3 linked regions of the Oryctolagus cuniculus genome follow. The protein of the gene in region 2 purifies or fractionates together with the protein of the main gene of each other region. This does not show direct contact. Links are inferred from orthologs where the notes say so. Each region holds a gene or a part of one and is shown on either strand. Other genes may lie near its edges. The genes, in order: UBE3C, 26S proteasome complex subunit SEM1 and RAD23B.

Region 1 (3,656 bases), on a different chromosome or scaffold from region 2:
AAGAGGCAGAAAGAGAGAGGTTTTTTTTTTTGTTTTGTTTTTGTTTTTTGACAGGCAGAGTGGACAGTGAGAGAGAGAGAGACAGAGAGAAAGGTCTTCCTTTGCCGTTGGTTCACCCTCCAATAGCCGCTGCGCTGCACTGATCCGAAGGCAGGAGCCAGGGGCCCCTCCTGGTCTCCCATAGGGTGCAGGGCCCAAGCACTTGGGCCATCCTCCACTGCACTCCCGGGCCATAGCAGAGAGCTGGCCTGGAAGAGGGGCAAGTGGGACAGAATCTGGCGCCCCAACCGGGACTAGAACCCGGTGCGCCGGCGCCGCAAGGGGGAGGATTAGCCTACTGAGCCACGGCGCCGGCTTGAGAGAGGTTTTCCATCCACTAGTTCACTCTCCAATTGGCCACAACAGCCCGAGCTGCACCAATCCGAAGCCAGGAGCCAGGAGCTTCTTCCGGGTCTCCCATGTGGGCGTAGGGGCCCAAGGACTTGGGCCATCCTCCACTGCTTTCCCAGGCCATAGCAGAGAGCTGGATTGGAAGTGGAGCAGCTGGGACTCAAACTGGTAGCCATATGGGATGCTGACATGGCAGGTAGTGGCTTTATCCATTATGCTACAGCACCAGTCCCGTAATCCAAGTCTTAAAATGGAACAATTTTAACATCTTGGATACCTAAAATCTTTAATTATACATTATTAAAAATAAGATTATGCCAAGTACATTTAATTTGGTCCAACACCTTTTAAATGAATTCCACAACAAGGGTCTTTAAAAGGAATATGAAATAACCATTAATCCCCAGGTACTCAAAAATTCAGGTTCTCCTCCTTGGAAAAAAAAAGTACAACTAAATTCACCTGCCTGTACTTAGTGTGACAACAGCCCAGTAATTAATCTTATACTGGGCAAATTAAGCAAATCACACACTGTCTACTGTGGTTTTCACATGAACATGTTGATGATATTTGTAAAAACAAAGTAGTTATGGGATCGGTGCTATTGTGCAGCAGGTTAAAGCCCTGGCCTGCAGAGTCAAGTCCTGGCTGCTCCACTTCTGATCCAGCTCCCTGTTAAGGCACCTGGAAAAGCAGCAGAGGAGGGTCCAAATGCTTGGGCCCCTGCACCCATGTGGGAGACCCAGAACAATCTCCTGGCTCCCGGGTTTGGCCTGAGTTCCTGTTGTTGCAGCATTCGGGGAGCGAAACACGGATAGAAGACCATGCTCTTTCTCTCTGTCTCTACCTTTTTCACTCTTGTCTTTCAAATAAATAAATCTAAAAACAACAACAACAACAACAAAGTAGTATTACAGAAAGAATTCAAAGGACAAACTCTGGTCAAGAAGAAAAACCTATAAAAAGAAAGACAAAAGATTTCGGACATTCAAAAGTAGATTTTGGGGCACAGAATGTTTGTCTAAAACATATCATTCTACAAGTTTTCTACTTTTTGAATTATATAATCATGGGACAGTAAATAAAGTTTATTTAAACAAATAAATAAATCTTTTTTTTTTTTTTAAAGGAATGTTATACCTTATGATTCCATTTAGAAACACCTGGGAAAAGACAAAATGATAGGGACAAAAGATAAATCAGGAGCTAGGGCTGGGGGAAGGAGCTGGCCATCAAGGAACATAATGTAATCTTGTGCAGTGATAAAACTAGTTTGTATGATTGATTCTGGTGGTGGTCACATAATCACGTTTATCAAACATCACAGAACCATACACTAAAAGGAGTGAATTTTACAGTGTGCAACCAATATACACATATACTTCAATAAACCCGTACTGGGCTCATATTGTGGTGTGGTGGGTAGAGCTGCTGCTCACGACACTGGCATCTCATATGGGTGCTGTTCAAGTCCCAACTGCTGCACTTTTGATCCGACTCCTTGCTAATGGGCTGGGATGAGTAGCAGAGTTGACGAGTGTTTGGGCTCCTGCCACCCATGTGGGAGACCCAGATGAGGCTCCTGGCTCCTGTCGTTGGCCTGACACAGCCCTGGCTGTTACAGCCATCCGGAGAGTGAACCAGCAGAAGGAAGATCTCTCTCTTCTCTGTGGCTCTCCCTCTCTGTAACTCTTTCAAATAAGTAAGTAAATGTGTTAAAAACCAATAACCAAATAGCAACCTGTTTTGAAAAAGCAGTGCCAGCTGTCGAGGACTCACCCTCTAGGGTGGACTGCAGCGGGCCAATCCTCCCCATTCGCCGGAACCTCCACACGTGCCTGGATGCTGGCACATAGAGCTGGGTGACCTGCGGGGAGAGCAACCAACGTTCATTGCTTTCTTTTTTTTGCCAGCACAAACAGTTTTTCCCTAGAGCCAGTGTCTGATATTTACGAATGACAAACAGGTCATCTCGGCACGCGCTTTCCAGGACTTCTCTCTTACACTAGCTGCCCTTTCATACTTTTATAGCTTAATTACTTTTCCTAAGATACCCCATCGCAATTGACATAGTAAATCATAATACTATAATTCCTTTGTGAAGTGAAACATTATCACACTTTAAAAACCCAAGGCCCAGTGCCAGGACAGTATCTGGAGCAGTACCACTGAGACCAGATAATCCTTTAGCACCTGCACAATGTGATCAGGCATCCTAGTTCACAAACGCCTCTGTATGTAGTCCTGCCAGGACTCTTCTCCCACTTGCAAACTGCCCGGCTAACATGAGGTCCCGTTCACAAAGCAAAGGCAGTCTGAATCTCACTCTTCCACGCACCACAGTTACCCAAATAATGTGCTGGTTCCTTTGCTTGCTACAAAAACAGCAGACACAGTTCTTGTTCTTCTTGGTATCATTATGAACTCACTGAGTAAATGTACCTGAAGCTTGAGTTCACTGAAATCTATCTTTGCTGAAGTTCAGATCTTCTACCTGGGAGCAGCAGAAGCCAGTCAAATGCCCGTGAGCCCTTCACAACGGCCAGCGTCCTGCTATGGCCTCACTCTCCAGTGTGACAACAGGGCTTCAGACCCAACTTGTAAGGTCTTTCCCAGACTCGGCACCAAGCACTGGGCCAGAACTGTTTCTTTTCTGAGTATTGGAGCTGTTCACGCACAGGACCTATCACTGTTTCAAGACCTCGTCAGTGGGCAGGACCAGAAGCTACAGTTTAATTCAAGGATGAACTACCTCATGAGAACCCCCCCTAGAAAGTTAAAAGATGAAAAATAATTTTTAATGAAAAACATTAAAGTGATTATTTCAGTAATACCTTATCTGCTTTAATATCTTCTTGCTCTGACAGCCAGTGGTTCGGAGGACAGAAATTTCTTCTTGTGTCTCTGGACTTCAACATTTTCACTAGATTGGTGATCACCTGAAGAAATGAACAAGTCTGTGTCATACAAAGGAGTTCAGATGCTACAAGGGCACAAAGCAAGCACCACCGCTGACCAGATGTTAGAGGAGCACATGCCGGTGGGACAGGGGATGCTCCTGTTATCTAAATGTTTCAAAGAAAACAGGACTCAGGAAGTGAGACCTGGCCTTAGACCACCAAATACTTCACAGAAAAGTGTTTCCTTCTGCCATCACAAGAAAGTGCTGGAAGTACAAAGCAGTTATCCATCAGCAAACAGAGAAAAACCAATGCAAATATGTGCACGTGATGATTCTTCAATTACAAGGGGGGGCGGCGGTTAAG
Region 2 (2,468 bases):
ATGAGTCTTTTAAAAATAGAAATATTATAAATGCAAAAGTCCAAAGAAAGACACTCAAAATAAAAGGTGGTCTGATCTTCCCTTTATATCGCTCAGTTCTGAAGTCTCCTCCCCGAGGGCTTCCCAGACCTGCTAGGTCACAGGGAATCAGGCCCTGGTCCCAGGGGCCATTCCTCTGGTGAGGGCCCACGAGGGAAACCAGACTGGCCACTGCCTGAGTGTGAAGGGGGCTTGGACTCGCAGCCCAGCCCCTATACACCAGAGGAGACTCACTTCTCTCCACTCCTTCCTCTGTTAGGAGACATACTGGTGCCAGGAAGAGGTGCCTACAGGTGCCCTGGGACCCCCTGACGGAGGGGCTTGGGGCTCGGCAGTCTCGCGTTAGCTCCGCGGAGAACCCAGCTTACCTGTGGTCTCGTTTCCAGACTTTCAAGCTGTGCCATGAAAGAGCTCACACTTCCTGGGACACACTGCTGCAGGAAACAAGCCCACAGCCTCAGGATGGAAGGGGAGGTCGTGCTGTCTCCTGCAAGTCTACATTCAGGAAAGACAGGAAGGGAGGGACTCACTAGCCAAGAGGCGGGAGACTTGACACACTGGCATCACAGGCGTTCTTCTGGCTCTTTATTTAAGGAAAAAAAAAACTAGTTTTTCCTTATTTATTTATTTATTTATTTTTTTTTTAGAGCAAAACATTTATTTTTCTTGTGCTACAAAAACAAAAATAAATCCAAGCAGATCCTGGGTTCTCCATGCTAGAATTTAGTCAACAGTTCAAGTTTAGGTTACTTCAAAATTTCTTCTGAAAGTTATGAAGTCTCCATCTTGTAACCATGTTTCTCCAGTTCAGCTCGCAACTGATTGGAGAAGTCATCCTCGACATTGTCATCATCCCAATTATCCTCCCAGACAGGTGCATCTTCACCTTCATCTAAACCAGCCCAGTCTTCGGCAGGGAACTCCTCGAACTCGTCATCCTCCTCGAGGAGACCCAAGTCTACCGGCTGCTTTTTCTCGGACATCGCTCCCGTCCACGCAGGACATCTCGCAGGTGAGTACGGAACATGGAGGCCTCACTCCCTCTCATTTATTTGAAAGGGAGAGAGAGAGAGCACTTCCATCTACTGGTTCAGTCCCCAAATGCCCACAGCAGAGCTGGACAGAAGGCAGAAGCCCCGAACTCAGTCTGGGTCTCCCACGTGGGTGGCAGGGAGCCAACTACTTAAGTCATCACCTGATGCCTCCCATTGTGCACAATAGCAAGAAGCTGTATTGGAAGCAGAGCCAGGACTTGAACCCAGGTACTTTGATTTGGGACGCAGGCATCCCAAGCAAATCTTAACCACTGTGCCAAATGCCCACCCATGTAGGCTTTTTTTTTTTCTGTTAAGATTTATTTATTCATTAGAAAGGCAGAGAGAGAAGGAGGGAGGGAGGGAGGGAGGGAGGGAGGGAGGGAGGGAGGGAGGGAGGAAGGAGATCGAGATCTTCCCTTTACTGGTTCACTCCCCAAATGGCCACAACAGCTGGAGCTATGCCGATCCAAAGCCAGAGCCAGGAGCTTCCTCTGGGTCTCCCAGGTGGGTGCAGAGGCCCAAACACTTGTTCCATCTTCTACTGCTTTCCCAGGCTATAGCAAAGAGCTGGATCGGAAGAGGAGCAGCCAGGACACAAACCAGCACCCACATGGGATGCCGGCACTGCAGGCAGCAGATTTACCCACTAGGCCACAGCGCTGGCTCCAGGGTTTCTTTTATAAGGAAACCAAAATCCCCTCAGCAAACTGTCTTCATGCCCGCACCCCCACCCCCAGATAGGGAAAGGAGATAGTGGCAGGAGAGGGGACAGCAGACCCCGTGGTCATGAGGCTATCTGAATGAGCGCTGATGAGATCTATTTGAGTGTCACTCAAGAGGCAGCGTTTTTGAGACACTAACCTTCCTCTCTGTGACTCACAGGTGGAGAGCGGAGGGTCTCTGAGAGTTGGTCGTTGTCACTCCCCAGTCCTGCCACTATAGAACCATCACCAGACACCGCTGCCTCTTGCCTGCTTCCAGAGACCTGCAGGTGCCTGGGCAGTGGGCAGAGGGTGGGTGTTCTCAGAGCTCTGCGGCCTTGTGCACGAGTCCCGGCTTCCATCCCGGGCCTCGGGATGCTCAGTCTGCACCATTTGTGTCTGCTGGTTGCAGGCGGCTCCCTGGTGGGACTCAGGAGTGCGCTGGGGCCCAGGGCTGATTCCCTTCGTTTTTGTTCGGCCTAAGCCCCTCCCTGCAGCCCTGCCTATCTCTGTCACCCTTCCCTCTAGCTCAGCACCTCGAGCTGGGACAGCTCCCCAGGGGTTCTGCCGAAGTCCAGAAGCATCGCCCCAGTGTCCGGCGTCCGAGAGGGGTGAGCAGGAAATCTGAGTCACCTTGCAGTGCTCCTGCCAGGCCCATGACTCGACGGCTGCCTCTCTGCACACGTGCTCT
Region 3 (3,656 bases), on a different chromosome or scaffold from region 2:
CTGGCTGAAAAGCCCATGAGAGTATTTCAGGCATGGAAAGCCAAGACACTCTGGTAAAAGATCTCTGTGAGTGAGATCCCAGTGGAAAGAACAGGTCTTCAAAGAAGGAGGTACCTTTCTCTGAAGGGAGGAGAGAACCTCCACTTTGACTATGACCTTGTCTAAACAAGATAAGAATCGGAGAACTCAGAGGGCTTCCATAGCCTTGGAAACTCATGACTGGAGCATAGGGAGACTACTGATGCCATAGACAGGAGTGTCAATTGGTAAAGTCAACAACAGGAGTCACTGTGCACTTACTCCTCATGTAGGATCTCTGTCCTTAATGTGCTGTGTATTGAGATTTAATGCTATAACGAGTACTCAAACAATATATTTCACTTTGTGTTTTTATGGGGGTGCAACTGTTGAAATCTTTACTTAATGTATACTAAACTGATCCTCTGTAAAAAAAAAAAAAAAAAAAAAAAAAAAAAAAAAAAGAAATTATCAACTCCCAACTTGACTCTCACTGGGATTAAACATGACAATAGGTCTGATCTGATTTCATCATCATTTAAAAAAAATCATCTATTATTTTTCACTTTATGTTTCTGTGTGAGAGCAAACTGTTGAAATCCTTACTTAATGTATACTAAGCTGATCTTCTGTATATTAAGATAATCGAAAATGAATCTTGATGTGAATGGAAGGGGAGAGGGAGTGGGAAAGGGGAGGGTTGTGGGTGGGAGGGACGGTATGTGGGGGAAGCCATTGTAATCCATAAATCGTACTTTGGAAATTTATATTCATTAAATAAAAGTTAAAAAAAAAAGAAAAAAAAAAGCTCTTAATCAGCATTTACTGTATACCATGTGCAATTTCATCTTTGACATCTATTATTTCAATCAAACCTTACAATAATTTTATGAAATAGATCTTGTTGTCATTCATACTATATAGATGGGGAAAAATGCAAAGATGTTAATAACTTTTCCAAGATTATCAGAGCTAATATCAGAGCCAAACAGAATACTATCCAACTAGAAATAATTGATGTGGAAAGATGCTTATAATATATATGACAAATATATAAAAAAAAATCAACCAAATATACATGGGTACTCCAAAAAATTAATGGAAAGTGAACATAAATAAGTTTGGCCACTGCAGTGGGTTAGGTCTTTGCCTGTAGCGCTGGCATCCCATATGGGCACCGGTTTGAGTCCCATCTGCTCCACTTCCAATCCAGCTCCCTGCTAATGGCCAGGGAAAGCAAAGGAAGATGACCCAAGTGCCTGAGCCCCTGCATCCATGTGGGAGACCAGAGAGAAACTCCTGGCTTTGGGCCATCCCAGCTTCGGCCAATGTGGCTATTTGGGGAGGGAACCAGTGAACGGAAGATCTTTCTCTGTCTGTAACTGTGCCTCTCAAATAAATAAATAAATAAAATCTCTAAAAAAATTTGGAAAAAACCTTTATTTTATACAAAAAATATGTACCAAAAATAGGTGAAATCTATGCATACTCAAAACAAGTAATGACTGGGATGGCAATGTCATGTTAATTAATAATTCTTGGGTTTTTTTTTTTTTTTTCATTTGTATTTTCTAACATTTTTACTCAAAATGAATAATGATTTTGACCCTCTCCCCTAAGGGGTGGGAAATCAACTTAACGAGTATAGAGATCTGGATCACCCAAATTTTTACCTATATTCTTCTTCGTAAACTACCCAAACAGACCTCTAGTATCTTTCAGGCAGGGTTCAAAGTTTAGAAAAAGCTTAACAGAATAGTCAGTTTGACTGAAATAATCATCAAAATAAATACATGTGTGAGATTGTTACACATTTTGAGATACAATTTCCTAGAACTCAGTGTTTACCTGTCAGTTGATGTTGGACTAGTAGCCACTGGTGTCTCTACCGGCTTTTCTGCAGGTTTCTCTTGCTTAGTTGCACTAGCAGGTGCAGGTTCAGAAGATGTCGTTGATGCTGGAGCAATGGACGCAGGTGTGGAAGTGGGAGCCAAAGCAGGGGCAGGTGTTGAGGCCTGAGTTACAGCTGTTGCTGTGGAGGAACTAACTGCAGTAGTGGTGGCAGAATTTGATTGCTGAGTTGTAGCTGGTGCTGGTGTTGTCACTGCTTTGGGCTAAGCATATTAAAAAGCAAAGTGATTATGATAAAATACTGTATTACTACCTGGTCTTTATTTGATTGTACAGAATGCAAGAAATCCAACACTAGTAAATCTTGTACCTCAAAAAAAATGAGATTAGTATTAGCAATCTGACTCACTTTGTTACTCTTTGAAAACCTGCGACTGTACACATAACTATGAATCTCAATTAGCTTTAGTCAACAATTTTAGACTATCAAGTTGATATGAAAAAGAATCAAAAGTAAATATTAAATATACACAACATGTATCCAAAAAAGTAACCAAATAATTACCCCCAAAAACTTTACGTATCTTAACTTTTAATTTTAGTAGAATTATCAAAAGTAATTTCTTGAAATAGAAATAATTACTAAAGAACATGTAAAATATTTTGCTATATTTTAGAAGAGAGAGGAAAAAATCCCAATAGACAACACGTACAAGAGATAAGCAACATTTTGAGATGTGTATGTAACTGAAGAGAAAAATAAAGTTGTGATCACATGCTGAGCACTTTCTAGAAACAGTCATAAAGCTTCCCACAGAGCAAAAAACAACTAGGTATAAAATCATACTAAATGAGTTTTATTCTTCTACATGTTTTTCTCCAATGTTCACTACCCAATCAGTTCATAACTTTCCTAAGAACAAAAGGTAACTGTTTAAATGGAATTAAAATTGAATAAAATTTGTCACAAGCACAAATCAACAAACTGAAAAACAAGAAGCTACTGGTATCTTGTTCAATCTCAGCTAGTAAAGAGGGCACTGGAAAAAAAGTGGTTAGTTCAAGTTATAGGGGGAGAGGCTTCAAAAATGCCCTTAGCATTTACTCCTTTTCCTATTCTAATAGCCTTACATTTAACTCTGTCTCTTTCTTTTCTGTCAATACAACACTGTGGAAATTATTAATGTTCTAAAAATTCAAAAATCCAATGAGCTGAAATCCTCAGGTAAAGTTATTCTGGATAAACCAAAGCATTACAAAGGTGATGGTGTGGATTTTTTTTTTAAGATCTATTTATTTGAAAGTCAGATTTACACACAGGAGAGGCAGAGAGAGAAAGAGAGAGAGAGAGAGAGAGAAAGTCTTCCATCCAATGGTGCTTCTTCCCGGTCTCCTAAGCAGGTGCAGGGGCCCAAGGACTTGGGCCATCTTCTACTGCTTTTCAGGCCATAGCAGAGAGCTGGATCGGAAGTAGAGCAGCCGGGACTAGAACCCACACCCGTATGGGATGCCGGTGCTTCAGGCCAGGGCGTTAACCTGCTATACCACAGTGCCGGCCCCGGTGTGGATTTTTTTCAAAGAAAGATTTAATGATTTATTTGAAAAGCAAGGGTTACGGGGAGGGGAAGGGGAAGAACTTCATCCACTGGTTCACTCCCCAAACGGCCGTAACTGCCAGGGTTGGACCAGTCCTCCACCAGGAGCCAGCAGCTTCTTCCAGTTCTCTTATGTGGGTACAGGGGCCCAAGCACTTGGGCCATCCTCCATTGCTTTTCCAGGACATTAGC

Evidence for each region.
Region 1: the proteins of 26S proteasome complex subunit SEM1 (region 2) and UBE3C purify together in Homo sapiens (affinity purification with western blotting; 3 studies listed by BioGRID and IntAct, with this or other methods). This does not show direct contact. The link is inferred for Oryctolagus cuniculus from reciprocal best matches to the Homo sapiens genes SEM1 and UBE3C.
Region 3: the proteins of 26S proteasome complex subunit SEM1 (region 2) and RAD23B purify together in Homo sapiens (co-immunoprecipitation; 3 studies listed by BioGRID and IntAct, with this or other methods). This does not show direct contact. The link is inferred for Oryctolagus cuniculus from reciprocal best matches to the Homo sapiens genes SEM1 and RAD23B.

The regions. Positions count from the first base shown.
Region 1 is NC_091438.1:11,203,843-11,207,498, forward strand, and holds part of UBE3C (ubiquitin-protein ligase E3C), read right to left. Parts: intron 3,330-3,656; coding exon 3,225-3,329; intron 2,258-3,224; coding exon 2,170-2,257; intron 1-2,169. UniProt on the Homo sapiens protein: E3 ubiquitin-protein ligase that specifically catalyzes 'Lys-29'- and 'Lys-48'-linked polyubiquitin chains.
Region 2 is NC_091443.1:63,706,474-63,708,941, reverse strand, and holds 26S proteasome complex subunit SEM1, read right to left. Parts: upstream 1,081-2,468; 5' UTR 1,023-1,080; coding exon 810-1,022; 3' UTR 649-809; downstream 1-648. UniProt on the Homo sapiens protein: Component of the 26S proteasome, a multiprotein complex involved in the ATP-dependent degradation of ubiquitinated proteins.
Region 3 is NC_091432.1:211,047,047-211,050,702, reverse strand, and holds part of RAD23B (UV excision repair protein RAD23 homolog B), read right to left. Parts: intron 2,133-3,656; coding exon 1,867-2,132; intron 1-1,866. UniProt on the Homo sapiens protein: Multiubiquitin chain receptor involved in modulation of proteasomal degradation. Binds to polyubiquitin chains.